4 linked regions of the Drosophila melanogaster genome follow. The gene in region 2 interacts genetically with the main gene of each other region. Each region holds a gene or a part of one and is shown on either strand. Other genes may lie near its edges.

The links.
Region 1: of hep (region 2) and Glyat, changing one suppresses a phenotype caused by changing the other (phenotypic suppression), as found in Drosophila melanogaster (one study listed by BioGRID).
Region 3: of hep (region 2) and tsr, changing one suppresses a phenotype caused by changing the other (phenotypic suppression), as found in Drosophila melanogaster (one study listed by BioGRID).
Region 4: of hep (region 2) and alph, changing one suppresses a phenotype caused by changing the other (phenotypic suppression), as found in Drosophila melanogaster (one study listed by BioGRID).

Annotation. Positions count from the first base shown.
Region 1 is NT_033779.5:8,005,979-8,012,449, forward strand, and holds Glyat (glycine N-acyltransferase), read right to left. Parts: upstream 4,675-6,471; 5' UTR 4,658-4,674; coding exon 4,466-4,657; intron 4,402-4,465; coding exon 4,157-4,401; intron 4,101-4,156; coding exon 3,927-4,100; intron 3,873-3,926; coding exon 3,647-3,872; 3' UTR 3,625-3,646; downstream 1-3,624. Other genes in the region: Spn28Dc (serpin 28Dc), read right to left, coding at 454-1,154; CG12560 (uncharacterized protein), read right to left, coding at 2,464-2,674, 2,740-2,913, 2,970-3,217, 3,278-3,481; Tg (transglutaminase), read left to right, coding at 5,767-5,905.
Region 2 is NC_004354.4:13,085,701-13,093,650, forward strand, and holds the start of hep (hemipterous), read right to left. Parts: upstream 4,735-7,950; 5' UTR 4,077-4,734; coding exon 3,659-4,076; intron 1,441-3,658; coding exon 953-1,440; intron 892-952; coding exon 712-891; intron 346-711; coding exon 125-345; intron 52-124; coding exon 1-51. Other genes in the region: lic (licorne), read left to right, coding at 5,783-5,841, 5,912-6,302, 6,389-6,521, 6,584-6,786, 7,460-7,678. UniProt on the Drosophila melanogaster protein: Required for the epithelial cell sheet movement called dorsal closure (DC), which allows establishment of the dorsal epidermis. Controls the expression in the dorsal epithelium edges of another dorsal closure gene, puckered (puc).
Region 3 is NT_033778.4:24,041,936-24,049,900, forward strand, and holds tsr (twinstar), read right to left. Parts: upstream 4,871-7,965; 5' UTR 4,734-4,870; coding exon 4,731-4,733; intron 3,248-4,730; coding exon 3,057-3,247; intron 2,985-3,056; coding exon 2,879-2,984; intron 2,816-2,878; coding exon 2,669-2,815; 3' UTR 2,518-2,668; downstream 1-2,517. Other genes in the region: IntS1 (integrator 1), read left to right, coding at 1-2,403; gammaSnap1 (gamma soluble NSF attachment protein 1), read right to left, coding at 5,348-5,386, 5,570-5,924, 5,991-6,061, 6,131-6,325, 6,400-6,515, 6,704-6,771, 6,834-6,898; sei (seizure), read left to right, coding at 7,496-7,965. UniProt on the Drosophila melanogaster protein: Exhibits F-actin depolymerizing activity and regulates actin cytoskeleton dynamics. Required for cytokinesis in both mitotic and meiotic cells and for aster migration and separation. Promotes cell motility during ovary development and oogenesis.
Region 4 is NT_033777.3:29,587,893-29,595,810, reverse strand, and holds the start of alph (alphabet), read right to left. Parts: upstream 3,981-7,918; 5' UTR 3,644-3,980; intron 2,718-3,643; exon of another isoform or gene 2,540-2,717; 5' UTR 2,461-2,539; coding exon 1,648-2,460; intron 1,585-1,647; coding exon 1,467-1,584; intron 1-1,466. Other genes in the region: CG31041 (uncharacterized protein), read left to right, coding at 4,929-5,303, 5,441-5,662; CG11470 (uncharacterized protein), read left to right, coding at 6,049-6,741; CG7567 (uncharacterized protein), read left to right, coding at 7,745-7,918.

The sequences.
Region 1 (6,471 bases), on a different chromosome or scaffold from region 2:
CTAAATTTGTTTGTCAATGGTTCCCATTTATATTCTAAACTTTATACGTACGTACGTACATATATATTTCTCAATGAAAGCTTGGGCTTTAAAGATTCATAAATATAAGTGGAATTACACGCTCATTTCTACACAGAAAAATATATTCTAATATTTTCTCGTTGTATATTATCTTCGAATATAAAATAAATACTTCCTTTTGGAGCACCACCATCAAGAGACACTAAACGCTTGATGATAATGGGTGAGATCATTTTGCTGGTACAATGAACCTGTTTCCCTCACTTGGCATTCAGAAAAGGAGATCACTTTAGCCCGCATGGCCTTCAGTTTTTCACGGTGTAAAACCTCAAGGCGATCGCTAATCGTTTGGCATTTCCCAGCACCCATTCCCAACCAGATATCGCTATAGTTCCAGTTTGCAGCCGGATAATTATCCGCTGCTCGGCTCACCTGTAGTCGGGATTGAGTGTGTAGCCGGTCTGTGTGAACAGTCCATTGGCCAGGTGCACCTCATGAGCACCGGGTCGCTGGGCCCGTCGATTGGATCTCATCGCGCTGCTCGCCCGCCAATCGGTCAGCGGTCGTCCTGCGGAGATCGCCTCCCTGGTGGGCTGTTGCAGATCCTGCAGCATCAGGCCGAACTGTTCGTGCAGCCTGGACGTGTCCGGAATATCGAAGACCGTGGACAACTCCTCGTAACTGCGACCCTTGGCGCCCAGGAGCAGCAGAGCCAGCGAGTGTACAATGCTCAGGGGAGAGTATATCTGGGTTTTACCGTTGGCCAAATGCTGGCCCAGAATGTTGGCAAAGTTCAGCACACTGTTCGCAATCCGATCAGAGGTGGCCAGATCCACATAGCCGTTGGAGTAGGCAGCCGGAAGGTTGGAAGGTTTCACCGAAGTGCCGGATATGCGATTCAACGCAGGGTCATTCTGGTTGCCAAGGCCGTTCACAAGGCCGGGCGATTGAAGGGGCACCGCAGGCGGTATCGCCTGAATGTGCTGCTGCGCCTCCTGTTGCATCTGATGCCGCCGCTGCATCAGTCCATTGATGTAGGCCATCGTTTCCGGGGTCCTCAGGTCATCACGAAATAGTTCCGATTCACAGCACACCGAACTCACGAGCAAAAGTGCCAAAAGCAAGCGCCACATTTTGTAATTTTCTTTTTGTTAATCTCGAACGCAACACACAGAACGAACTTTATATATATATATATATATATATATATTTTTTTTTTTTTTTTTAGAGGCAAACGCGATGTGGCTGTGCGAGTTGTTAAAGCCAGACTGAATGATTGGCGCTGAGCGCGCATCTTTATAAAACTGGAATCGGAAACTTGTTATCAAGCAAAAACGCTCCTTCAAGTCCCCGATCTCTCGCGCTCTGCATCCCCAGCTGCTCTCGGATCTTGGCGAGCTTGGATCTGGGAGAGGTTTCGTCGACGAGTCACTGGTTATACCCCGGCTTTGTTTACATGGCTGACCCGTGTCTGCACTTGTTATTGATCTTCATCGATCGGTACTTTCTCACGTACTCATGTACTGCCCCCCGCCCATTCATATCAGCATTCTGCGAACTTTGTTGCGGAAATCCATGGCAGCCCTCTCCCATCCATTTGTATCTATGCATGTATGTACGTACGTATGTATCTCAAACCCGTGACGTGCATACTGATATTCTCTCGCAACCGGTGAGTAAATAGTTTAAATATTTATTAGCTATATACTATAGTCATTATGTTTGGTGCGTATTCTCGGTCTCGTCATTGGAAAGTTCGCGGCACATTGACACGGTGATGGAGTCGTGGTGGGATTTCCCAGCGCTAGGATAAGATTTGTGCTCATCTGTTGGGCCATCAGAACTAAACAAATATGAGATGGGTTTTATTGGTAATAGATAATGCCGTCGTACAAGCCCGTCGTAAATTATATTTAAGCGTTACTTGCTTTATGAGTTATTTTAGATTCGATGACTCATTTTTGCTTCTGTAATGCCAGTTACCAAAAATAGTTAATGGTAGTTGTGTAAGTTTTTTATCTATCATGTAAGTTATTAACTCTAAGTTAGTTAGTTTCAGCTTCAGTTTATGGTAAACTGATCATAATAAAAACCATCGACCATTAAAGTAAATATTATCCGGAAATTTAACTTGACAATTTAAGCACAAGTTTCATTATAAAAAATATTAAAAATGAAACGTGCAAAGGAAGCGTAAATAACTTCCTTTGAAATCATTAACATTTCAAGATTATATCATTTTATATTCACCAATTTTATCCAATATATTATATTAAATTTACATTACAATCCATCTCAATTTAATTCAAGCTCAAATTCATGGGTGCTCAGCTATAATTGAATGAGCTGATTCACTCTTCTTTATTATTAAAAAACCAATCATTTCCTACACTATATTTATTTTAATAATATTTATGTTAGTTTTTGGCTTCTTCTCAGTTGCTAGGCAGCCCAGTATGTATTGTCTATAGCACGGAAACCCAGTTTCTCGAACATGCTCCTCGAGGGGGTGTTCTTCGTTACTACTGGCGCCAAAACTTGATCTCCCGCTGCGGAAATCTTCTTAGCCATCGACTTCACCAGCAAGCTGCCGAGACCAAGGCGTTTATGTGACTCCAGAACCTGCAGCAGACCCAGGGATCCAATCGGCAATCTAAACAGGAAAGTTAATTAATTAATAAGTTTTTATATACATTTATATACAGTTCGATGGCTTACCGCAGACACCAGGCAACCAACTTTCCCTTGTCGTCATAAGCACCCAAATTAATATTATATTTAATTAAACTTCTCACAAAGTCTATAGAGCCGGGTTTATTATGTGGCCAGTTTTCATTGATGATTTCGGCATCTTCGATGGTCAAGTGCTGTAGACTTAAGCCCGGAGGAACCCTAAATTGAAATTATTCGTTTCATTGAGAGTTATAGAGTATAAAGTACAAACTCACTGAATGTTAAATGTATCTACGAGTTCTTTGCTGGCCGCGTACCAAACGGTATCCACAGTGTGCAGCTTCTTGTTGGCATAATATTTGTTGCCAATATACTCCACCACAGGTTTCAATCGCGTAGAAAACCCAAAGAAATCGTATTCATTCTCAATGGACTTGAGGCATTCTAACGCTTTCGTCACTCGATCCAAATTTTCGCTCAGTGTGTTGAAGTAAATGTGGTTCATATGAGTATCCGAACGTAGCTGAGATGATTAGACAACATTCAATCACCGAACTTTTGCATTTCACATCGCATAACTTACCGTTAGAACAAAGGTTCCATCGCTCTGCCAGTCGCCATTCAACGATAGGAAATTGACCTTCAATTGCGGGTCTATCTCCACCCACTTAATGAAATTATTTATGCACGGATAGCCTTGGGGATCCGTATCTCTGGCCACATACAAATCTCGCAGTTTAGTCCATTCGCCGCGTGGAATTTCAACCAACGAATTCTCCGTCGACATGACGACAACCTTTCGCAACAAAAGCTGAACGCAGACTAAACTTGAAACAAAAAAAAAAAAAAACAAAATGAGATAAGAGAAAAGCTGTGCACTACAAAGAGAGCAAACAAGTAAATCGAAACTCATAATAAAAGTAGACGTTTGTAATCTGTATTTATTCTTTATTTATAAAGTGCACGGTATCACTGCCCAGTAGAGTTTGTTGATATTGTTGAATCCTAGTTTCTCGAACATTTTTTGCGAACCCTCGTTTTCGGGAACAACTGTGGCCAGAACTTCTGAGCCCTTTAACTTGATTTCATTAGCCATAAAGCGCACTGCCAAAGAACCCAATCCCATTCGACGATGTGAGGATAAAACGTGTAGGTTACTCAAACTACCATGAGGAGATCTAGAAAATACAGATTGTTTCAGGAATATTATCAAACCCATCTTCTTTTCTTACCTTAGACACCACGCTAGGGGTTCTCCTTGGTTATCAAAAACACCAACAGCGAGATTGTTCTCCATAAAACCCCTTATCATAGTTATAGAATCAGCTGAACGATAAGCCCAATGTTTGTCGACCAATTCGGCATGATTTGATGTGATATAAGCCACTTTGCAAGAGGTACTCAAACTAAAGGGTTAGAAATTTGTAACAAGATTTTACTGAATATTATTATTTTACTTTACCTTGGTTTCCAACTGGGAATTTCGGTGCTTGGCAGGTGGTAAACAATAGCGCCCTGGTGTTCAAGATTAATCAAATCTTGACCCAAATTCAGCCAATATGCCTCAACTAATGGTTTGAATCGTTCTTCATAGCCACAGATTAAATGAAACACTTTAAGTTTTAGAGAGTTCAACAATTTGCCAAGATCTTCTGGGGTTCCCTTAATGGTATTCATATAAATATAGGCCTTGTTCTCCAAATAATGCTGAAATGCAGATCTAAAGTTATATTTCACATACCTAGTGTATGTGAACTATATATGTGCTTACAATTAGTATATAACTGCCATGTGTTCTCCAATCCGTATCAGTTGTATATATCTTTATGGATTCGGTTGTGGATAAGGGTATGTAATTTAAAAAGTACTCGATTAAGTCGAATCCCGTGAGATTAGTTCTATCATTCGCGTACAAATCTCTGAGCTCTGGCCACTGAGATTTTTCTATCAGTATAGGTTCCATTTCCAATTACAATTGTTGCTGAGGCAGAGAAAAATGATACTGATGTTTTTCTTTTCACAGACACAACAATTATTTACTGAGTTCTTTTTGTATATTTATGACAATCTCTTTCTCTTGCGTTCTCTTAGTATACCCATTGACGTCACAAAATATCTTGTGCTCTTTTGTAGACACCTTCTCATTTAAAAAATTTTCGATATGTTTTATACTCATTTCTGCGTTCTGATTGACTGATCGCCAACTGTAGAAATTTCTTTAAGCGGTTATCGATTTTTAAAAGTTTTAATAAAAAATATTTGCTTATCATTTTTATGTATTTGATTATATATTGGGGACAAACCCTCTATTAGAAATGCATGTAAATTTCGTATAACCTTGTCAAGGTCACAATGAAGGAACATATGAAGTGCTTATTTCTCAAAGTGTATCTTCCCAGGAAATAACCATTACGCAAAACACTAAATCTAAAGTCTGTGTTGACAGAACTGACAAAGATTTAAACCCAACCACGCCCCTTTAGCACACTCATGATAACTCAAACTAATTAATTAACTAAGATAGTCGTCAATCAATTTGATAGCAATCAAAGTCAATCATGAATGATTCAACTGCAACTTATTCCGTAAAGCTGATCAATTTACACACGCATCTCTGCTTTTTGGACACTCGAGGCCATCAACTAAGTGACACCGTTGACCCACCACAGGCACATGGCATATGGTATGTAAAATGTGAATAGTTGGGAGAAGACGACCGATCGATTCGGTATTCAGTATCATTCGAATGTTGGAGCTTAATAGACCGCTTCGAATCAACGCCATCGACGGCGATGACGTGATCGCAGCTGTTACAATTTAAACTGCCTCGATTTTGCATTCCGCGCGAGCAGTTTAACCAAAAAATGACACGCCAGTTAATTGCGGACAGCGAAATTGTTGGGTTCTAGAGTAGCAGCAATATTCCGAAGTTCAAATACCAATCCTACAAATCCATCGGAGAATCAACAAAGTAAGGCTTATCATCGCCAAGGCGAACCGGTTTGCCCAATAGATAAAGTCAGAATACGCCAGCATTTGAAAAATAACTGGGTGTGTAGTTCGACTTGAGACATGGGTCAAAAACTATCGTGTTGCCAAAAGTGCGGCGATTGGAAGTGGTGTACATCTAAGGACAACGAGGAGTCAACGCTGCGTATACGCAATGCCAATGCCAACTATTTTACGGGCATTCCACAAGGCGACAAAACAGGTTGGTTTCAATCGCCAAATAAATAAAAACATCGATCTTAACACCTTACTAATTCGACAATGTACTATTGTACATAGCCTACAAACAGTTTTTATAATTCAAACAACAAATTTGAATTTTACATAAGAACGTATCTAGATGTATTTTGAATACTAAGACCTCGAATTCAACGTTTAAGTTTGATTAGAGAAATTGATTGAGTCTCAAATTGTTTTACTACATATTTTAAGGCCGTTAAATTCGATTTTATCTTTGCGTTCCGCTTACCAACGTCGAAAATTGATTTACTTTATAGTGTATGGCACCGATCCAAACAATTATGCATTTGTTCTATAGTCATTTGCCTTTTATGAATGCAAATTTTATAGCCGTGGGTGTTAGACACTCATAGACGCGCTGCCCACGGTGTAGTTTTTTTCTATCCCCCCAAATTGCTCATTTCATACCTGCAATTTCGAAAATTAAATTAAAATAAACAAAGCATGAAGCAGCGCACCTGTTGATTGGCAGATAGCTTACACAGCAGTTTAGTAGCGCCAAAAATGTAATATTTAAACAATAACTGA
Region 2 (7,950 bases):
TGGGCCAAAAGCTCCGGATACTTGGGTCGATCCTGATGGTTCTTTGTGAGGCTGCAAACAGATAAAAGATCCATATTAACTGGGCTCTGTACAAGCGACAATAATACTAGAAAGTATCACTCACCACTTGATGACGAAATCGCGGAACTGCTGACTAAAGTTGTAACCCTCGCCGTATGGCAAACACGGCGGCTCCGAGTCAAGCACCTTGGTGAGCACCTCGAAGTCCGTGTTGCATCCCTCGTACGGGGATCGCGCTGTGGCCAGCTCCACCAGCGTTATGCCCAGTGACCACACATCTGCGCGAATGTCGTACTTTGGTTTCTTGGGGTCGATGCGCTCCGGCTGTAAAATTGAAATTGTAGGGCATTCAAAATAGTTGTTTCAAAAACTAGATGAATCACATAGGTCATATGTATTCTAAGTACTTATTGATTAAAAGCTTAGTTTACGCTTCAATTATCTCAAATTTATGGCTTGCTTTGCCAAGCTTGGAATTTCCCTACGAACACGTTCATTATTTAAATAAACTAAGTCATGACACCGATCAATTAAACAACAAACCTATATATTTTCCAAGAAATGTAATGAGTTGTAAGCTTGTGTAGCAAAAAAATTTAGTACTTTACAATATACACAATTTTCTCAATCAATCTAGGATCTGTCTAGTCTATTTTTCCCTATCATAGCCCTCCCGCTCTTTATACCCACCGCCATATAAGCTGCACAGCCGGCGGATCGAGTGTTGGCCTTGGAGTCCACCAGGCGTCCGCTGATCCCGAAATCACAGAGCTTGATGTTCCCGCGCTCATCGATCAGAATGTTCGAGGGCTTCACATCTCGATGGATGACTCCGTGCTTGTCCTTCAAGTAGGACAATGCGTTGACCGTCTGCAAATGGAATAAGTATTAAGAAAAGATTCTAATGAAGCGCTATTCCTTCAGAACTAACCGCCACTGTGACCTTGCCCAGGATCTGTTCCGGCACCGGCTTCTTGGACAGCTTGAGCAGCTTGTCAAAGCACATGGACATCAGCTCCATGCAGATCCACACATCCGGATCGCGAACGAAGCAGCCAAGGCACTTGACAATGTACTTGCAGTCGTGCGATTTGAGCACAACATCCAGATCCATCAGGATGCGTTTGTTCTCCTCCGCGTTGCCAGTGCGTCGCATCTGCTTCACGGCGATGATCGTGTTGCTGGACAGGTGCATCATCTTCACCACATTGCCGCTAGTCCCATTGCCCAGGTCGCCCAGGTGCTTGAGGTCATTGATGTCCGTCGGATACTGCCGCCCGTTGATGTTCAGCTTGCCGGTCTGCTCCATGATGATCTTCAGCTTCATGTCCGTTTCCGAAACTGGAGGATGTGGCGGCGTGGGCAGCGGAAGTATCACCGGCCGCGTACGATTCAGTCCACCACCGGGACCACTAGAAACTATAGGATATACAATGGAAAACAGCGATATGTTGGTATGATGATAAAAATGTACGTATTAAATTCAATCTAACTAAAAAATTAAACAATATTTTGCATATCTATTATATACAACAAGAATACTTCCAACACATATCTCTCAATTTCTATACGAAAAAAATGCCTTAAAAACAATCCTTTGAAATATTTGCAATAACTTCCAATTGGGTTACCATAGGCCACTAATCAATTAACGAATGCTGCCCACTGTGCCATCGTGTGCGTGTGTGTGTGTGTGCATGAAGAGGAAGAGCGAATGAGAGCGATTTTGTTTTTGTTTGCGAAGTTTTTTTTTCCCTGGCAGCAATTCAATTCAACAATTAGCCACTACAACAACAGCACGTCATAAAAAATAACGCTATTTGTAAACATGCGAAAGAGGAGACACGGCACAATGTCCGATGAACGAATGTGGGCAGGGTGCGGCGGAGGTGGGAATATGTGAGGCCCAAAAAAAATGACAACAACAGTAACGGGCATATCAAGACATTACTCCGGAAATGCCAAAAAGTAACCAATGGCGGAGAGCGAGAGAGGAAGAGAGCACCAAACGCGAGTAGAGAGACGCACACATGCAAAAAGTAAATAAAAAGTATGTAAGTAAATAAATAACAACACTTGATGGCAGATGAAAATCCAATAAGAAAAATATACAAGACAAATATGCAAAAACTTAAATGTATAACAAAAGGAAGGGGAAAAGAAACGAAAAAAGGCGGTGGGTGGTCTCACAACCGTGGGCACAATAACGTCATCTCTTACATGAAAAATTTAAAATTTCTATCAATTTAAGCCTCATAAATAATCGAATAACGACAACTTTTGTCTTTAATAAACCAATTTTGTTCTGATAAATTAACATATAGACCGTTATATTTTGTTAGCTATTTATTCATTTAACTTTTGCTCGCTCATTATGTACCACGAACTTGAAAATCTATTCAATAGCTGATTACACTGTTAAAATTTGGGTGTGATTTTAAGTACCCCTGAAATTCGCGGAAACTATTAACCACTACTAATCTAATCGAATCGAAATGTATTTGATTATTCAAAAACCCATTAGGCATTTTCTGGGGTTCATGTATCAAACAGTTATGGTACCAGGAATTGTTAATCTAATCGAGGCGAAAATAAATTGACGCGGTTCACAGCTGTTAATACCACTGTAGATTTGACTTCTTTTTATTTTTGTTTGGCCCAACAAAAGGCCGAAAACAAGTTGGGTACGCTTTTGGTGTTCGCACTTGGCCTGTCTTATCTATGCAATCGGAAAAACAGAACGGGAAATCGGAGGGGGGGAAAAGCGGCAGAGCTACGGGGTTGACGGGGCGCTGCTGAGGTGCTGGAATGGGGGATTATGAGCAGCTGTTATGCAGTCGGGGAATCGATAGCGTTTGCCCTTTGTTGGCGGCATCCAAATGCTCCAAAGTAAACCCAATGGCAATAGCAATGGGAAAAGCCAAGAAAAGAGCACTTCTCTTATCACAATTTAAGCACACATACATGTATGTACACACACACACGCGCACATACACAGCTTATTGGGCAATGACAATTTATTAACAAAATATTTACACAAATGCGGACAAAAGATGGTTTTGTGGCTTGCGGTTGGCGGTACGGTATATATAGATTTTTGGTGACCATTTTTGGGGATCACGATTTTTCTCAGCCCACTTTTATTACCACTTAACAAACTGTCTACAGTTGCGGTCAGAGAAATGTTGGCTTAAATCCACACCTGTCACAGAGGATCAATAAAGATTTCACCTGTCTAATGTTCGATCGATAAAACATTGATCTTTCTGCGAATTAATATCAAAAATGTTGTTTGTGCGTTTGGAAATTTACTTGGAAAGTTTTACCACGTTTTTGGCGGCCAAAACTGTTTTTCGACAACGATTTACTTTCGAAAGTAGAGAATTATCGAATATTCGAATCGGGAAAGTCTCGTTGGAAAATTTTGAGTTACAGTACGCAGTTTGATAAGCTATCATTTTTAGATAGCGGTTTAGAGTATTCCCTGGTACATGGAGTTTAGTTGTGACATTATATTTTGTTATATTTTTCTTCAACGATTTTCAAAGATTCAGGTAACTACAGTGTTTTTCTAGTTGATCCCAATTAATTTTATATATTAAAGATTTAGTAGGAAGTTAACGAAAAGAGGACTTACGCATGGGCAGTGTGGGCGTGGCTCGCGACACTCTAGTTGTCGGCGGGGTGTATGTTCCACCGAAGGTGCCCGTCGCCGGTGCTGCGGATGCAAATGCGGATGCGGATGAGGATGATGACGAGGCGCTGGCGCTGCCGAAGGGCGTCGCATGAGGAACTGGAGGTGCTGGACGCTGGGCTATGCTGATACCCGATCCGGAAACGGAACCTGCGCCCAAGGAAGGTGCGTGGGTGGCGGATGTGGCTGCGGATGCGGATGTCGCCAGGGGCGGGACGCGGGCAGATGGAACGGAACCGGAAACGACAGGGCCGCGCGCACCGGAGAGGACGATCTGGTCGTGGGACTCATTCTGCGCCTGGAGCTTTGCCTCCAAGGATTGCAGCCGACTGCCGATCGTTTCGAACTCAATGGTGGACATTATATCGAGTCGATTTGGTTCGATTTTTTATAGTTAGTTGCTAGTATCGTTGGATTTTGGTATTTATTAAATTTTTTTCGCCGTTTTTTGGCCAGCACTTCTTCGATTTTCCTCTCACTCACTCCCTCTCTCTCACACACACACAAGCGCGCGCAGGCGGGGGAGGGTGCGTGTGTGTGTGAATTGTTTTGCTGTGCGCCCTGTTTGTTTTGTCGCTGATGTTGTTGTTGTTCGGCGGCACACATACACTGTAAACTTTACACTTGCAAAAATAAAGGATTGCTTGGACTTTTGTTGTTTGCCAAGGGGGGGCACAAAAACAAAATCGAAAAAAGGAAAACACAGTCACTGTGCATTAGAGAGAGACATCCTCACCCCCACACACGCACACACACAGGCATACACGCAGCGCCCTCTCTCTCTTTCTTTTTCAGCAGCAACGGCAACAACAACTTGCGATTTTTTCCTCCTTTTTTGGGAGAATATTTCATCGGTTGTTTTCCTTTCGCGGCGCTGTTTGTCGCACTTCTGCAATCGATTCGTTTCGCGACCGCGGGCGGCGGTATCACTGGCACAATTTGATCACTCGCTTTTGTACGTTTTTGCTGCCTAAATCGCGTGTACAATAGTGATGTAAAAAAACATCGATGCATCAGCCATCGATGGTTCTTCGCCGATAATTCTTAATATCTTTTTTCGTGCCTATCGATGGTTTGCAAAACATCGGCACCTCAGAAACAGTTTTCGAACTAGGAACGGCATCTAAAACTATGTAGGATTTTATTTTACCGAGATAGAATAATTTTCAGAGGATATTTCATACAAATATAATATAACTATAATAGATTTTTCAAATTCAAATTGGTCGATTCGAGAGACTTCGTTGTTCTTGTACTTAAAATAATAATATAAGGTCTACCTATTTATTAATTAATAAAATAATAAATTATTTTAGTACAATTCTAAAACATCGAATTCTATATGTTCAGTCAAACTTGCAACATTACGTATCGAAAACGGAGTGACCAAAGTGCTAAAAAGAATCATAAATATACCGAAATGCAACTTAAGATGGGCATCACTTGGCTAGAACTTATTAAGTTTTCCCTTAAAATAAATGTCTATAAATGTATAAATAAAAAATTAAAGAAAATAAACAAACATTAAAAAATAGGTATGAAGAATATACGGAACAACTTTCTAGAAGGCTTACAAAGAGATATAGATATAATCGATACCTAACTTAATTATCTAAATTCGTTGCAGGTGGAAGCAAATTTATTATCGAGGCACTTCGATTTATTTGTATGACGATACTATAGCTGCACTCGTTGGGATATATCGATAGGACCAACTGCGGCTGGCCAGCGCTAGTGGAAAAGAGAGAAAAACGAGAAGAGAAGCGAAAAGCGATCGGTGAACAGTGCAAAAAGTGCGGAAAGGAAAGCAAAGGCAATAGCGAAAGGTTGGGCGGCAAAACCCGGGCCACACGATCCACACCGATCCGATCCCCATATCACCGACCCGCATCCGAATCCTGACCTGACCAAATGCGGTAAAAATAGCCGCACCGCATCGCATCCGATTCGCACCGAACCGCCAAGTCTTGCAGAATCCGCCAGAAAACACCAAGGAAAGTCGTGGAGAGGAGAGGGTATATATAGCATATAGCATATAGGATATAGGATATAGAAGGGCCTACCAAAATGTCCAAACGCCACCGCCTCACGCCCTTTACCATTGCCAAGGAGCCAGAGGCCGCCATGTAAGTCAAAATGGTCAAATCCTGGCCAGAAACGAATTGTGAATTGAACTACATTCGGCAATCCTTTTAGAGTCCCGCCACGCAACCTGGACTCGCGGGCCACCATCCAAATTGGCGACCGGACCTTTGACATCGATGCAGATAGTCTCGAGAAGATCTGCGATCTGGGCCGTGGCGCCTATGGCATCGTGGATAAGATGCGCCATAAGCAAACCGATACGGTCCTGGCCGTCAAACGCATACCCATGACCGTAAATATTCGAGAACAGCACCGCCTTGTAATGGATTTGGACATATCGATGAGATCCAGCGACTGCCCCTACACCGTCCACTTTTATGGTGCGATGTATCGCGAGGGCGATGTCTGGATTTGCATGGAGGTGATGAGCACCAGCCTGGACAAGTTCTATCCGAAGGTCTTCCTTCACGATCTGCGAATGGAGGAAAGCGTGCTGGGCAAGGTCAGCTGGGGAGGATTGGGGGCGGGTCTAATCTTATCGGGCAATCGCCACTATACTATTACCGTACTACTGCCTTTGCTTTACAGATTGCCATGAGCGTGGTCAGTGCGCTGCACTATCTGCACGCTCAACTGAAAGTCATTCATCGGGACGTCAAGCCCTCGAACATACTGATCAATCGGGCCGGCCAGGTCAAGATCTGTGACTTTGGCATCTCAGGTGGGCTGGCATTCTGTGACTTCTTGCCACTGTAATCATTCTAATATTGGACTGACTTTTAGGCTACCTCGTCGACTCCATTGCCAAAACCATTGATGCCGGTTGCAAGCCGTACATGGCGCCGGAACGGATCGATCCCCAAGGAAATCCGGCGCAATACGACATCAGGTCGGATGTTTGGTCGCTGGGCATCGGCATGATCGAAATGGCCACGGGCCGCTACCCATACGACAATTGGCGAACGCCATTTGAGCAACTGCGTCAGGTGAGTGCCTACCTCTGGCTGGTAACTGTCACAAAGAGGATCTTCAAGATTTTTCCGGACAAAATATGTGTCATTTAGTCAATTTGGGATTTTAGGTCCTAATTATACAAAGGCTACCGATCCGATAATGTATTCCATCTTATCATATATGTAATGAACATTTGGATTTTTCCAATTGTGGTAGCTAAAAGCTTTTAAGAAGGGTGGAATTTCTAAAAATTTGATAATTAATAATCAATTGACACGTTTGATTGGAGCTTATGTTTTTTCACAGATAATCCGTCGAAAATAGTATAAAAATAGTAGTTATAGCCACTCATAATCATATACGAAGCAAATGCTGAGTATTATTATTTCCTGCTAATGATTTTGTTAATATTAATGTCAAGAACCAACTTTCGTTACATAACTTATTGGGGGCTCACAAATAACTATTAAGTAATTTTAATTAAAAATATAACCACTTGTTCTCAAGCACTTTACACGTACAATAAACTCTAAAAAAAACCATTAGTAATGTGCCAAGCTGCTGTGGTTATCAGAATACTAAACAAAACTATTAATAAACATACAGAATGAGGCTTTTATCAGAGGGATTTTGTAACCGATCTAAACCACAAGTTTTCGCATCGTGCGTAATTAAGAACCTATTTTTTTTTTTATTATCTTTTAGGTGGTTGAGGACAGTCCGCCGCGCCTGCCGGAGGGAACATTTTCGCCGGAATTCGAGGACTTCATCGCCGTCTGCCTGCAGAAGGAGTATATGGCAAGGCCCAACTACGAGCAGCTGCTCAAGCACAGCTTCATCGTGGAGCACCTGCAGCGCAACACGGACATCTCGGAGTTCGTGGCCAGGATACTGGATCTGCCCGACGCGCAGCCGGCGCAGTAGGTTAATGGCCGGGTAGCAGGTTAATGGTTAACCCATGGCGCCGCCCCCTTAACCCCTTAAGCCGTGCCCGTGCCCGTGTAAATTGCCGCCGTCTTCTTCTAGCATGCATTTCGTACATGTTGTGTGTGTGTCCCCCGTCTGTGTGACAGCAAAAGGAATAAAACTTTATTTGAATGGAGTCCAAGGAAACCCCAAAAACAAACCCAACAGCAATCAGCAATAAGCGTCAGCTAATCTAAAGATACAAAATGGAAAGTGCATAATTATTAATT
Region 3 (7,965 bases), on a different chromosome or scaffold from region 2:
AAGATCAGTGTGGTTATTCAGGAGGCCGTTGAAATTGATGATTACGATTCTTCAGACTCGGATGATAGACCCACTAACTTCCTGGCCACCAAGGAGGTAGCCCAAACCATTCTCACGCAGCCCGACCAGTTGACTGAGTCGCGAAGTGACTGCCGATCCTTGATTCAAAAACTGTTGGACATGCTAGCAAGCCCGAACAGCAATAGAGCGGATGTGGTTAACGCCATAACAGAGGTGCTAGCCGTGGGTTGCAGTGTCACGATGAGCCGTCACGCCTGCACATTTTTAAGGACTTTCTTCAGCTGCATGCTGCACAGCGACAAGTATCACATACTGGAGAACGCTCTCCAAAAGAACTTAAGTATGTTTAAGCACACATTCGCCGACTCCAGTCTGCTGCAGAAATCCGAACTCTATCATGAGAGCTTGGTGTTCATGCTGAGAAACTCTCGCGAGATTTATGCGCAGCAGTTTAAGGCGAATACCGCCTTGGTGGCACGAAAACGGATCGTCCGGGCGATCGTCCAAAGCTTCGATCAGACCAAGGACAGCAAGACCGTCGCCAAGTCCAAGAGCGACCAGCTCTTCCACAACGGGCTCTTCATCGACTGGCTGTCCGAAATGGATCCCGAGATAGTTTCCACTCAGCTAATGAAGGAGCGCTTTCTGTTCTCAAAGTCCTGCAGCGAGTTTAGGTTCTATCTGTTGTCCCTGATCAACCACCAAACCAACTGGGACACGATCGAAAGGATTGCCGAGTACCTGTTCAAGAATTTCCATGAAGACTACGACTACGCCACCGTCCTCAACTACTTCGAGGCACTGACCACCAATCCGAAGCTGTGGAAGGGACGCGACAAGTACATGTCGAAGAACGTACGGCCGGATGCCTTCTTCATGCTGAGGACTTCTGAACTGGAGCCGTTCTCCCACTTCATCCTTCACGAAGGGCTTTCCGAGGTCAAGCTGGACAGCAAAAACTATGATTTCAAGCTCTGCTCGCGAATGAACCTACTGTTTAAGCTCACAGAGAAGCGACGAGACCTCATGGTCAAGGTAATGGAGCACGTGGAGAAAAGTTCGGTGTCCGACTACTTGAAACTGCAGGTCCTCCAGCAGATGTACATCATGTATCCGCGCATCAAGTTTCTGAAACCGGGCAAAACCGGCGAGCAGGCGTACAAATTGCAGAATCTGAAGGGCTGCCAGGCGGACAAGGTGTCCAACAATCTGATCACCTGCTTGGGCAGTCTGGTGGGCAAAAAGGACTTTGAAACCCTGTCCACGGACACCGAGCTGCTCCTTCGCAAGCTGGCTGCCTCCCACCCGCTTCTCTTCCTTCGCCAGCTGGGCGTGCTGTCGTCCATTATGCAAGGTCGGGCCCAGCTCAGCATGAAGGCCCTGCGCGAGGAGCACCACTTCCACCGATTTGTACAGATCCTGAGGACGCTGGAGCTGCTGCAACCAACCATCTTTGAGGAGGCGTACAAGAACGAGATCCAAAACACGCTGTCGTGCTACTTCAACTTCTTCAAGCACCACAGCAACGTAAAAGAGGCCTGCCAAATGCTGAACAAGTTTGTGCAGATGCTCCAAGCCTACATCAACTACAATCCCTCAAGTGCTCTGCTCTTCATCGAACAGTACGTGGGCATCCTGAAGGAACTTGCAGCCAAGTACACCTCACTAGGCAAACTGCAGGTTTTGGTCCAGGCCGTTGCCCTGCTGCAGCACAAGTCGCACTCGGCGACGGAATTGGACGACGAGGAAGTTAAGTACGAGTACGATCTGGATGAGCATTTCGATGTAAAGCCATCGGCCAGCAAGCCCGTGGTAACAGAGGATCCCATCGAAGTGAATCCGCAAACACCCATCGATCCAAGCAGCAGTAGGGGTCCCTTATCGGTTCTAACCTTGGGCTCGTACAGCCGGTCGAACTACACGGACATATCGCCGCACTTCCTCGATCTGGTCAAGATCATAAAGCAGTCCAACACGGAGGACGTGGTCTTGGGTCCCATGCAGGAGCTGGAGTGCCTCACTTCCAAGAGATTTGTGTTCATCAACGAGCTGTTCGAACGACTGCTCAACCTTATATTCTCGCCGAGTGCCCAGATCCGGTCCATCGCCTTCATCATACTGATCAGGCATCTGAAGCACAATCCCGGCAATTCGGACATCAACCTGTGCACCCTTAACGCCTACATTCAGTGCCTGCGGGACGAGAACTCCTCGGTGGCAGCGACGGCCATTGACAATCTGCCGGAGATGTCGGTGCTGCTGCAGGAACACGCAATCGACATCCTAACGGTGGCCTTCTCGCTGGGCTTGAAGTCGTGCCTGAACACTGGCCACCAGATTAGAAAGGTTCTCCAGACTCTAGTGATCCAGCATGGCTATTAAGCGTTCGGTCTATAAGTTAGAACCGTCATCATATGTACAATGTAATCTTTGCTCCTTATAATAAAGTGTATTCTGCGGTACGAGATTTTTACCACAGCGGAAACGCGACTTGGTCAAGTTAAATATTTCATTCTTTATTTCTACTGAAAATACAAATTATGTAGAAAATTCTCATACAAATTGGCGATCTCAACAGGATACGTGTTTCCATCGCTGTTTCATGCATGCCTTGTTTGTTAAATGCAATGCACAGTGCTCGTACAGTTTATTGGCGGTCGGTGGCCCGGAGTTTCTCCTCGACGGCTTCCCGGGAGGCTTCGGAAAGATCAGTGGCTTGTATATACTTTTGGACGCCCACGAGCGACTTCTTGAGAGCATCGAAGGAGCTGGAGTACAACATCTTCTTCTTGACCTGTGGGTGTGTGATATCGAAATGAGTTCTGCGCCATTACTTGGCAACTGGCTATTCACATACCTTGGCAGTATCGGGACACCACGACATAAGGAACAGCTTTTGCTTCTTTGAACTCTCAGAGGTGCCTTGACACTGGTGCATGTACTCGAAATCGAACAGTCCGTACCTGTGCAAGCGAATAGATGTTAAATTAGGTTAGTTTCGATGGGTCTGGGTGTCTCTAACCGGCGGAACTTACCGGCACTCTCCAGGTCCGCATTTCTGGATATCTTCTAGAAACTGGTCGTACTCGGCGTTGCGATCTGCCACAGTCTCCACATCAATCTGCTTTTCATCGCGAATGTAAAAGATGACATAGCGATGCTTTTTGTCCTTCTTTATTTCCTCGTATGTAGTCTTGCAGACATCAGACACAGTTACACCAGAAGCCTTTAGAGAGAGAGAAGGTAGAGATGCAAATCAGAGAATGTATTTTGAATGTTCAATGCGCGCCAAACTGTCAACCAAGTGTGTGTGCATGTATGTGATACAGGGTGCTCTCTTTGCGTTTCCCCAAGTATTCCCTTAAAACAAATGTTCATGAAGTACCAAGTAGTTGAATTGTAAAAAAAAATAAGTGAAGTTCAATGTTTTATGCCCACATAAGACACGAGGCACCCTGTACCTCACTGATGTACATATGTGCGTATGTAACTGACTGGCAGACATAACTGCCCACCTTCAGCTGACAGTATATCCGTCCCTTTTCGACTTTGCAATTTTATTTCTTTGATTGCCGGCAATAACAAACATAAAGGTAAATAATTTATGCTACTTTATTTGCATTGCCACCGCAGAACTTTTACCGGTTAAGGCGTGCGCACACTTGGCACGCCGATTTATCTGGGAGTGGTGGGCGTGGCACCATTTACAGTTAGATTTTCCTTTCTTTTTTTCCCGGCGCTCGGAAAGTTCAAGGGTAAGTTCACAAGTGCCGGCAAGTTTAAGGGTGAGAACAAGCCGACAAGAGGGAGAAAGAAAACTAAAAGGGAGGTGGCTGTTTCCCCACGATTTCGTTGCGCTCACAAAACGGTGGAAAATGCCCGATTTTCCATAATATTCGGAAAATGTCGAGAAAATCAAAATCGTCCCACATGCAAACAGTCGTCTGCTGCACACACACAGCTAAACATCATGTGTATGTATGTATGAACATCCGCAAGGCGGCAAGGAAACGATCACACCTTAAATATGTATGCCTGCAGATACATATATGGATATATATTGATACATATTTCTGTATGGTAATATGGACGTACATATGTACACACATTTTGCGTCTGCGAGAAAATAAGCATTAAGCATTGCCCCGCAGATACATACATACGCACATATTTATAGCCATCGAAATATAAAAAAAGCGGTATACCCACACACGCTCAAGTGTGTAAAAATATATATATGTATAGACATGAAAATCCAATGTGTGTGCATTTCTCTTTCCAACATTTCAATTTTTAATCGCTCCATTTTTCCAGCTGCCACTTTGGAGCATTCTTTCGCGATTGCCTTTCGCGAATTTGCCAGTTATGAGTGTGAGTGGCGGCTGAGAAGTATGAAACACTCCAATAAATGAGTAATATCCGCTGCTACCAATGACTAATTTGGTATATATGTATACGCACACATTCATGACCATGTATATGCCCGAATATGGCCAACGAACATATAGGCAAAAAAAAGTGGAAATATATGTATGATTGATATATACACACTTATCTAAATATGTATGTATATACAGATTTCAAAGGAGAGATGCTTATATGATTCATCGAATCGAAGACATTATTTGCACTCCACCTCGCTTCCAAAAGTGCACAATGACCGGCCGCTTTTACCACCGAGTCTGAATGCGAGTCCCAAGTGTACGTACCATTTTTCCTGTAGTTTTTCGCTTTCACAATTCTCAAATTGCTGCTTCGCCGAGTATATATTTTACAAATACTGTTTAACCTTCCGCCTTCTTTCACGAACAACCGGACGAATCAATTTGGTCGGTTATTTCGCACAGGTTAGGGTTGCCAGGCGCCGGCAAAGTATCAACATGCGTCGTGACGCGTCGCGACGTTTGTGAAGCGTTTGGAACGGTGAAATGGCACACTTTCGATCTTTCAAAATGTCAAATATTTTAGGGTGCTTTAAAATACATAGTATAGTTTGAGTTAATTTATTTATTTATATTAACAAATTGCACTATACTTTCGTGTAATAAAGCTGAAGATTTACAGATTTGAATCTTAACACATTCGCTGTTTTGGAACATAGAATATATATACATAGTTTACACTTATAGCTACAATTTATTACTTCAATATCAATTCATCCCAAAGCTAATGATATTCTTTGTTGTATAGTATTGATCTTAGTATTTATTAATTAGTACAACGATTGCGATGAAATTTGTATTTAACAGTTAATATAATATGTTAAAAGCGATATTATTAACGATAAATATATTTTGACTAACAAGCAGACCGAACATTAAGAAATTTAGCACAAGCCACCTTCGTCCTCGGCGTCGTTGGTTTCCTGCGAGAGAGAAAGAGAGAAAATACGAAATTCTTGTTAGCTATTTAGTTTACTGCTTCGCACTGTCCCAAGTCTTCTATCGACAACAAAGGCAGATTCAATCGCCTATCGATAACATCATAATAAGAGCCAAATTTACAAAACAAAAATTGCAAATTCCATTTTTAGAATAAAAATACTCACAGCAGCAGTGTCGCCAGCCTTCTTCTCCATCTGTATACCCTGAGGTAGTGGAATGTTTTTAGATAGAATAGCGTACTCAACATCCATATGTCGTATGAATGGGGATGCCAGCATCCTAGCAGCTAACTCGGGATCCTCGTCATCGAAGGCTTGCAGAAGGGTCTGCAGTGTGGACACTTCCTCTGGCTCGCAGCAGTTTCCCCACTCCCTGAAGGTCTTTTCGGCTTCCACGGAATCCCCGCGAGCCAGTTGGACCATCACCAAGGCCACAACTAGGCGTCCAATTTGTCCGTAAGATTCCGTTTGCTGATTCAAGCTGATCTCCTTTTTGAGCGCATTCGTGGCTTCGTCGTACCTGGAGTGATTGGATGATATAAGCTAAGGATACCCAAAGTGATTCGTTGCAATCATAGGTACATACCTCCTTAGTTTGACCAGTATCCTGGAAACTTTTGATGCATACTCGGCTGCTTGACGGACGGAATCCTCGATCTGTCGGGTAAGTATAAAATTAATAGTTTAAGAATGGAATTGACTAGAGCAGTGTCAAATAGGACGAACCATTATGACTTCTAGAGCATGCTGATAGAAGCGCAAAGCCATGTCAGGATGCTTGGATTCAGTTAACTTGGCGGCTTTATCCAAGGCGGATGCGGCTGCCTCTGGGGAACCGTGCTGTTGATACAAACTCGCCGATTTGTTGGCGTATTCCTCAACTTCGTGTAGCTTATCGGCATCCTTTGACAGCAAAATGATCTAGAAGATGTGCACATTTAGAGGGTTTAAATTTCCTATTAACTTCACTTATATTAACTTCAATTTAAGCTCACCTGTTCGTATGCCTTTGCAGCATGGAACCAAGACTTGTTGTTTTTATAGGCGTCGATTGCCTTCAGAAAACACTCCTTGCTCTTATCATAACTTTTAGCTATTCGATATGCAGTGGCTGCAATTAAAAATGTAAAAGAAAGATACATAATTGTACACCAATATGTGTGTATCTTGCAAGTTATGGATACTTTGGGATAATCGTTAGCTGTAATTCATAGTATTTACATATCTCATTGATGTCACAATGTTTTTATAGATAGATACTCTGGGTGATATTAGTCACTCCTACTTTGTGAAACTCACCAGCTTTGGAATACTCATCCGCAGCACTATCGTAATCAGGAACCCATTTCAGCATGGACAACTTCAAGCTGCAAATAAAGATGGGTGTTATTTGGAAACCCCTTTATAAGGATATTTTTGTTGGGGATACCTCTTCTCGGCCTGCTTCACCAGGTCCTCCGCTTCGGCAATCTTTTTGGCAGCGATTCCCGACATTTTCAACCACTTTTGTTTAGCAGGAAAAATCAATTGTTTACGTTTGAAAATAGTGTGACCGAATGCGAGAAGGAAAATAACAATGGTTCGAAAATCACGGTGGTTTCGAATCTTTGAAAACCGAAAGCAGTACGCATGTCTGAAAATTTCAGAAAAGCAAAGCCTGATTACACCGGGAAAAAAAAGTTGGTCTTATAAAGCAGTTGACTTCGAAATGAAAATGCCATGTATTTACATACATCTATTCATTTTTTTATTTTATCTATGATATTTAAAAAGTAGAGTATGTGTAACGAACAAGATCGAATTGAAGTGTTTTTAATTGATTGAAAATGATTTTCCACTCCTGATTTCTCCGCGTGCATGTCATACCTGTTCTGTTTTGATTTGCAAGTAAATAAGAAAGTGCATTAGGTAAGAAATCGCAGTTTTCGCCAATTTCAATCTGGAGTAAGTGGAAATTTTGGATTTATTATTAAGTTGTTTTTAAGCGAAGATTTATTTGAATTTGCTTACGAATCCGGATATTCTGAGCTTTGCGAATGTTTGATTATAATTTGCAACACTTTTTCGTTTCTATACTTTGCAGACTTAAAAATGTCCCACAAATCTTGCGTGGAACTGAGCGAAATTCGAAAATTGGATAAAATAGTGCAGCAATGCGAGCTGTACATGTCCAACAACAATATTAACGATAATGCGGCCAAGAAACCGCCTGTGAAGGAATTCAAGCGCAATTGCCCTGCAAAATCGAACAAATTTGTGGAGAGGGAACTCTTCTCGCTCATGTGCAACCTGAACAAGATTGAAAAGAAGCAGGTTTTCGTTTCAGATATCCTGATTAACGCCAGCATGTTCGACGACAAGAAGGAGAGTTTGGCGCGGTTTCCGAAAAACGTGTCCGACCACAACACTCTGGTGTACCACAAATTCCTGAGGACTCGACCCACTAACGATGATGAAGCCCTAAAGCTGAAGGCTGGTGGAAAATCGAAGGAGAGGCCAGGCACGAAAATCACGGCAGATTGCTTCTTTTCGCCTCTTCTATTCAAAATCAACAACAAAAG
Region 4 (7,918 bases), on a different chromosome or scaffold from region 2:
AAATAATTTCTAAATGGGTTAGCTACTGTGACCAGTGGTGGGCAATGCATGCTCTAAGTCTATTCACTAACTGGCTAATTGTAAATCGTACGAATTCGGTCTAAAGTAATTGTCTATATCAACAAGGTCGGCCTGCGGGTTTTTGGCCGAGTTTCACTTTGGTGCCTCGAATACTGAAGTCTCGGATAAACACCACCAAGGGTTATTCATTGCTTTAAATACGTAATTCAAGTAATACGACTACAGTTCATCTGAGCGGTTGCTAGTTAATAAAATATATGTTTTCATTGCTTCTCAAAGTTTTTGTCAGCTATTCAGCTTATTTACATTTCTATCTACAACTAATCTTCTCTGAAGACATTATACTCTCCTATTTGATTTTGCTTAGAAATTAAGATTTAATTCGCTACTCCTACTTAGATACATCAATTCCAAGTGTTTGTTTTGAGTGTCAATACCTGCGTACGTTAAGTATTGCAATTTCGTTTGATTGATTCACATCGCGCCTAGTATCAAATGGGGTATACGTATATGCAAGTAAATGTATATACAAATTGGTTGACGGGTCATTTAACTACTTAGCTCGGGCAGGTTCGTCGATAATTGTTATTATTTAGGTGTATATGTACGACTAAAGCTAAATGGGCTGGATTTCGCATACATGGAACGCTTTTGGCAGTGGCTGTAGTGCACACAGGCATGTATAAATAATACTATAACTCAGGCTCACACACGGGGCAGACGAACACTGGTCAGCCACACGCACAGCCACCAGATATGACAAACTAACACGCTATACAGGTATTTGCTATGCATTAGTGATAGGATATTGGTCGAACGCCCACACACACCCCATTTACATATTTATACAGGCAAATATCGGTGAAAGCTCTCTAAGGGAATATATAACTAAATGTACGTGATGTCTAAGCACTAAGAATATGAGCATAAATGAGCCACATTATGTAGAGTATACAACATTTATATAGCACTCTTGTAAAAAAAAAAAAACGGACTTCAGCCTTTTTGCTGTTGATATGAATTTGTAAATTCGAAAGGTTTCAAATAAGTATTAGAAATACACATATAGATTATCAGTGCCTATTATTATCCATCCAATAGAGCTTTCACTGTACTTGAGGTGGGTGTGCGAGGAGTTCATTCTTGGCATTAGTAATGGCAATGGTTTGGTTTTCGTTTTGGTATTGTTTTTCGTTTTGGAACTACTTCGGAAAGGAATTGTTTTGTAAGATTCTAGTTTTGGACAAAGTGGGGCATATACAGCTCTAGAAGCACTTTGGGTCGGGACTGTAGGCCATCGAGGAGCCCATATAAAGTACTCGTGACGCTCAAGGTACAAAATATACGTATTTCGGTTCAAAAGAGACGCGAAGACGGAGGAGACCACTACGCCATGGGTCAACAGTTTACGATTAGTTATAAACAGAGTAGACGACTAAGACAACCTCTTGTGATCTTCTCGATTTGCTTTTCCAGACGATGTTCAGCCTCTATCGCCTCCTCGGTGGGCTTCGGAGCTCCGGGGAAGGCAATGATGATGATGCTCATGTTGTCGCGGCTACCCTGTAGTCAAGAAATGAACAGCATGTGAAAACTTTGACGATATGCATGGTAATCAAGACTCACCTTGTGCAGGCAGGTGTCCACGACCTGGTTGGCGATGCTCACTAGGTTACTGGTCACCCGCATTCGCGAGTGGATGAAGCTGCACACGTCCTCGTTGGACATCACATCCCAGATTCCATCGCAAGCGAGCACCAGGAACTCATCGCTATCCTGGCGGCTCTGACAGAATATCTCCGGTTCCGGCGATACCAACTGCTCGCACTGTCCCTTCTCCTTGACGTTCTTAAAGTCGTAATCCCCAAGGGCTCTCGACACTGCCAGGGTACCATTTACGCGCTTTATCATAACACTGCCACCCGCATTATAGATGCGCTCTTTCTCCTCCGGCAGAATGGGTTTGTGATCCTGCGTGGCGAACACCGGAACACCCTGGCGGCACAAGACGGCCCTCGAATCACCACAATTGGCGATGTACACTTGCGTGAGGCCGACAAAGGCGCACACGGCGGTAGTTCCGCCGCATTTCTCCGACTCCCGGGTGAATTCCGGCAGTTCCCGCATAACCTCGTCGATGCGCAGGAAGCCGGTGCGAATGCCCTTCACGTGGTCGCCTCCAATGAATTCCTCGGTGCTAATAATGCTCTCCAGAAGGTGCTTGGCACAGTGCTCCGACACCTTGCATCCGGCATGCCCGTCGAACACGGCAAAGAAGCTCCAGTCCGGCAGGGCATCCCCCAGCCCGGCACGAGCGTAGTAGGCGTCCTCCATCTCCGACCGCCATCCCTGCATCGAGCTGACCCCGAAGAGCAGCTTGTTGCCCTCACCCTCGTCATTGTGCTTGGCGGTTTTCGGCTTATCCAGGAATCCGCCCATGTTCACTGAACATGCTGTGTGCTGTGTGCCGGGCGGGTGCAATTTCTCCTCCTCTTACGGCTAGCCGGTGCCAAGGAATCTACGGATCGAGGACACAAGGGTATGCAACCATTAAACGACTGCCAATCAATATCAACCAGCAAGACCTTGAACTTGAACTTTCACCAGCGGATGACTAAGCAAAGGTCATGCCAAAATAGATAGTTTATAGTTTTCCACACACAAATAATAAACTGAATACTGTGTCTGAATATTCCTGTAAATGGTATCTGGATTTTTCTGACACAAACGGATGTGCAAGTCTCGGCTTTTGTAAAACCATTTCATTTCATAGAAATTTCTACGGAAGTTAAGTTGACTCATGGCAGTTTGATTTCAGCTGAACATGAAATAATTATTTGCTATACTCTTTCTAATTCTCGACCTGTATGAGTCGTAAACGCATCTTGACCGTCAGTAGGATGCTGGTAGAAAATCCAAAATAAGTATTATCTATTGATTTGAATACTTTTACTATAACTTGTGTTATTTTAACCTGTTTTAACCTGAACTGTTGAGACTGAAGGACTCCAAATATAAGGTACTAACTACATATATATAAACCGGCAAAAACATGTGAATTCCGAACTGGAATCAGCTGGCGCTTCATAATTAATATACATATACATGCTCATACATATGTACAGGGTACATTTGCGGGGCTTCCCCCTGTTGAGTTTTGCACTTGTGCCACAGAACAATAACTGTAAGCCGACTGCAAGGACATGGAAAAAAGCGCAAACACAAATGGGGGCGGGGCGGAAGACCTCGCGGCAGCTGCCCGCCCACGCTTTTCACCGCTATTTCCTCTGTGTCCCGCGCTTTTTTGCATTTCCTTTTGACACATCGATTTATCAAGGACGCGGCTTCGTCCTTCCGCTTGGCCGACTAAATTTAGCACTCGAAAGTGGGCGTTAAATACATTTTGTGGAAAATGTGGGGAAAATTGCGCGCAACAGCATCCATATCCCATTCACAAAAAAAAAATTTGTTTAGTGGCCAGCAAGTTGGCAGCACCGATTTCAGCAGGGGCGGGGGGTGGTGGAAATCCGGCATGGCCACCAAAAAATGGGAGGTAATGAAAACGCACTCGCGATTTATGATCTTCGGTGCTGGGAAAACCTTCGCCTCTCGTTATTTTCACCTCGCAAATTTTAAGTTTGATGATCTGCTTCTTCTTCCTCCGCTTGCTGCTCTTCTCTCCGCGTGCGAGTGGTTGTGTGTGTGCGAGTGCGTCGGTGAGCTGCGTGCGTGTGCGTGTCTGCCGTAAGTAAAAGTTTAAGAAGAAAAAACGATCGTTTTCCACTTGATTTTCATCGCCTACTAGCGCTTTTAAGATCAACGAACGAGTCGCGCACTTAATAACACTTCTGCGCGATCCCGAAATGCACTTTCGAGGCGGAAATGGAGTTTTTTCTAATATTTTGATTAACAAAGTGACTAGTGATGTAAAAAAGCATCGGGCATCGATGTACTGAGGGCGATACTTATCGATGATATTCGAAGAGCTATTGGCTATCGATAGCAACCGAAGGCACTCTTCTAGCGAATACACGCAACCCACCTAAGCAAGTACACCATCCTATTGGCGATGTTAAGTGCGATGCAGTTAAGAGACACCATCACTCTATGTAGAAACAGATGTTAACAGATGTGTTAAACGAGGTCCTGGCAGTGCACTCAAAAAAATTAGTTGTTCAAATCCACTGCATTTAGTTCTTGTGGCTTCCGCCAGTTTAAGTATGCGTTAATTTATGAGTGTCCATACTCCAAAAGTGCTTCCTGCACGAATTCTTAGAATTGTGTTATCTTTTATAATCTGCAAGTGATTAATACAAATTGCAATACAAAATTTGTGAATACCCTCTTAACTGATAGTAAATGTAATTATTTTAGAGGTGACGTAAATAAAAATTGCGTAGGCATCTATATTTACCATAAACAGAATTCCTGATATGTTTTATATAAAATTGGTGTATAAGCCATGCATTATTAGTATACACGAGCTAAATAATAAAACTATTAATTATTCAAAGAAAAATATCAGCGAAATCTAGTGTCTCTTATTTACTACCTTTCTCTAAACATATATTGTATAACAAGAACACGAAATTATTTTCCATGGTGTTAAATTTCTAAAGTAGATATACATATGTAGCTCTTTGCCTATAATGGGTAAAATATATTTAGTTTATTTGATGGAATGAATATTGTTGAATTGATATTGGGGGTTTCATTGACACCTTTTATTTGAAGAGCTTCCACAAGGCGTCACGATAACGGGGTCTACATCAGGAACTACCCCAGATAGTTTGTGGATCATAAATATTAGTAATCTAGTTGCTGGAATTACTACAGTATAAAAGCCAAGTCTGGGTCTTTGGGCCCCACACTCCAGTTGTCCAGTTCTCCAAGTGTCGAAAGTGAATATGTCGTTCAAGGCCGTCCCCCTTTTGTTGGCTATCGGCGCCGTCTTCGTGGCTGCCGTGCCCACTCCCGTCGAGACCGAGAGGGAGTCCTCGCTGGTGGAGCTCCTGCTCAGTTCTCCGGCCATGCGATCGGATCTCTTCAACGTCGAATGCGTGGACTACTACAGCCCGCTCCTTAAGGGTCACGTGGACAAGTACAACGAGGACTTCACCGCGTGCAAGGACAATTACGACGGGGCCTTCTCCCTGATCGACTCAAGCTACCGCAGTTCCCGCGACGAGCTGTCCGTATCCGTGAGGGACACCTGCCTTTCCCTCCTGACCTGCAATGGCAGGACCTCGAACTCCGATGCCTTCGAGTGCTTGGCCTCTGGGGTGAGTGATTCGTACAATGGTGGCTTAATCTATGATCTTCCACGCATACTCTAATGAGTATTTTAAAGTGTTTTAAGCCGTATTTTGTATAACTTTTTGCGCTTAATAGCATTAATAATATCACCACCCAATCGCAGGGTCCTTCGGCATCCAAGGAACTGGAGAAAGCTTCCTACAACGCATCCGACAACCAAACCAGCCTGCTCGCCGAGGTGTCCGTAATCTCGGAAACGCTATCCAGATGCCAAATCGAAGCCTACCGGACCTACAACACCAACCACGGCGAGTGCTACGCCGACATGGTAGCCTGCCTGGGTGATCCCAACTGGGAGTTTCCCAGCACGAACTACGTGCTCTAGGACTCGAGTCAAGATTCAGATCACCTCGAGCACCCTGTATTCGTGAACTTTTATCGCTGTAAATAAAAGACTTTGAGTGAATATTAATCAAGTTTAAACGATTAAATCCTATACCTCTGAAACTAGCTAAAGGATTGGACGACTTATTCATTATCAGCTCAATATGAAGGTGTTTTTCAAAAGTGTATCAAGAAAGCTTAAAGGTTTTTGGCAGTAAAACATGAGCTTATCTACTCTCGTTTAACATTGCCATCCATCAAACCTTTAGAGCCATCATTATCAGTAATTGAAAATATATAACATTAATGTGTAATTAAAAAGATAATGATAAATGGGAGTATAAATACGTCTGGGTGTCACATCCACCGTCAACTAACCTGGCCAAGATGTTCGCAAAGCAAGCCAAGATCTTGGTCTTCTGCCTTTCCCTGGGCCTCTCGCTGGCTGTGAAGCTGCAAATTCCCTTTAGACCAGACGCCCACATCCAGGAGCTGCAGCTGCAGAGCAGGGAGCTGGCCGAAGTCCACTCAGATCACTCCACGCAGTGCTTCTCGATCTACAAGCCCAAATTGGCCAAAATTGCGGATCAGTTCGAAACTAACTTTACGGCTTGCATCTCGGCCTATGACAATTGCACATCCCATATCAGCGAGAAGTATGCCGAGGATCGCCAGATCCTTCTCAGGTCCGCCAACATCGGCTGCTCGTATCCCAACTCCAATTGCCAGGTCTGGACTCTTGAGCAGCAGCCGCTGGACACCGTGGTCTCCCGCCTCGAATGCGCCTCCACCAACTCGGCCGAGAGCTCCAAGACCTTCTATGCCATTTCGGCCAATGCCACGCAGATTGCAGTTCAGATCCAGGAGCAATATACGATCCTAGAGAGCCGGAAGAGTGTTTGCATCAATGACGCAAATCGCTCCTATGTGGAAGACACCTCCGATACCTACGAGCTTTTGAACAACTGCCTCAAGAACGGACCAACCACCACAACTTGTAATCCATTGACTTACCCTACAACAACCACAGCAACAACAACAACAACAACAATAACAACCGCAGCACCTTTACTTCGTTAAAAGAAAGTCAATCAATAAATATATCAGGCAATTGAATTCTCTGTTTTATATAAATAAATAATATAGGAATGCAAGCTATTCACTGTGGAGCTTAGTTGTTTAATAGATGACAGGATTGAATAAAATATAGAGGGTACCAACTTATTTATGAAAGCATGACAGTACCTAAGATTATTGTATCAGCTATTGTTAATAGCTGCCATACGAAAAATAAAACTATATTAATTTTAATCATAACATCAGTCGGTGAATTATTTAATTTAAAAAAAAAAAATTTAAAAAAATATGCTAAAAAATTCACAGTTTCACGTCTTATAACAAAAACTGCTTTAATCCGTATACATCAGTTTTTATACCCCTTAGTCGTAGAGTAAGGCGGCATACTTGATTCCATGAAGAGTATGTAACACCTAACCGAGTCTATTTGACCATGTCCGCCCATCTGTCTGTCAGTCTGTCCTTATAAGCGTATCTCTACTATAAGAAATCATAGAAATCATAACGCAGATTCCAGAACAAGTTTGTTCCATGGCGTTGCCACGCCCATCCAGCTAAGTAACGGGTATCTGATAACAAATAAACTCTTCTTTAGTTACTTTAGGTACTGAATTGGCTTGCAATTCAAAAACGATAAATTTGAATTTATATTTCGGCACATTGTCTACGCTGGTTTCAGTTTATGATACAAATTGAACTTTTCTCCAAAAGCAAAGATATTTTTAAAAGTCCATGAACAACATTTTTTCAATTTGAAGTAAAAATTGAACCCTTGTTACTGCTACCGATTGGAAACGATTTCTGATAAATGTAATTTACTTTGTTTGAGATTAAATTAAGAAATATTTACCAATTACCGGAAACAACAAATTAGCGACATGCGACATTTCCTCCAACAAGAGGCAATTGCTTTCAAAAGAGATAAGAAGCTCGAGAAATGGGTATAAAATCACTGAGCTCTGCAACCGAGGTATTCAGTAAGAAGTGGAATCTGAGACTTTTAGCCATGTTTTCCAAATTCTCCCTGCTCGCCGTGGTTCTCGCTTTTGGCCTGGTTTCTGGCCTCAGCCTTAGCCTCGTGGTAAAGCCTTCCAAGCTGAAGCTGCCCACCAACAAGAAGATCCTTGGCCTTCAGCAGCAAACGGAAGAGCTGGCTGCTCGGGATCCTGGCACTTCGGTA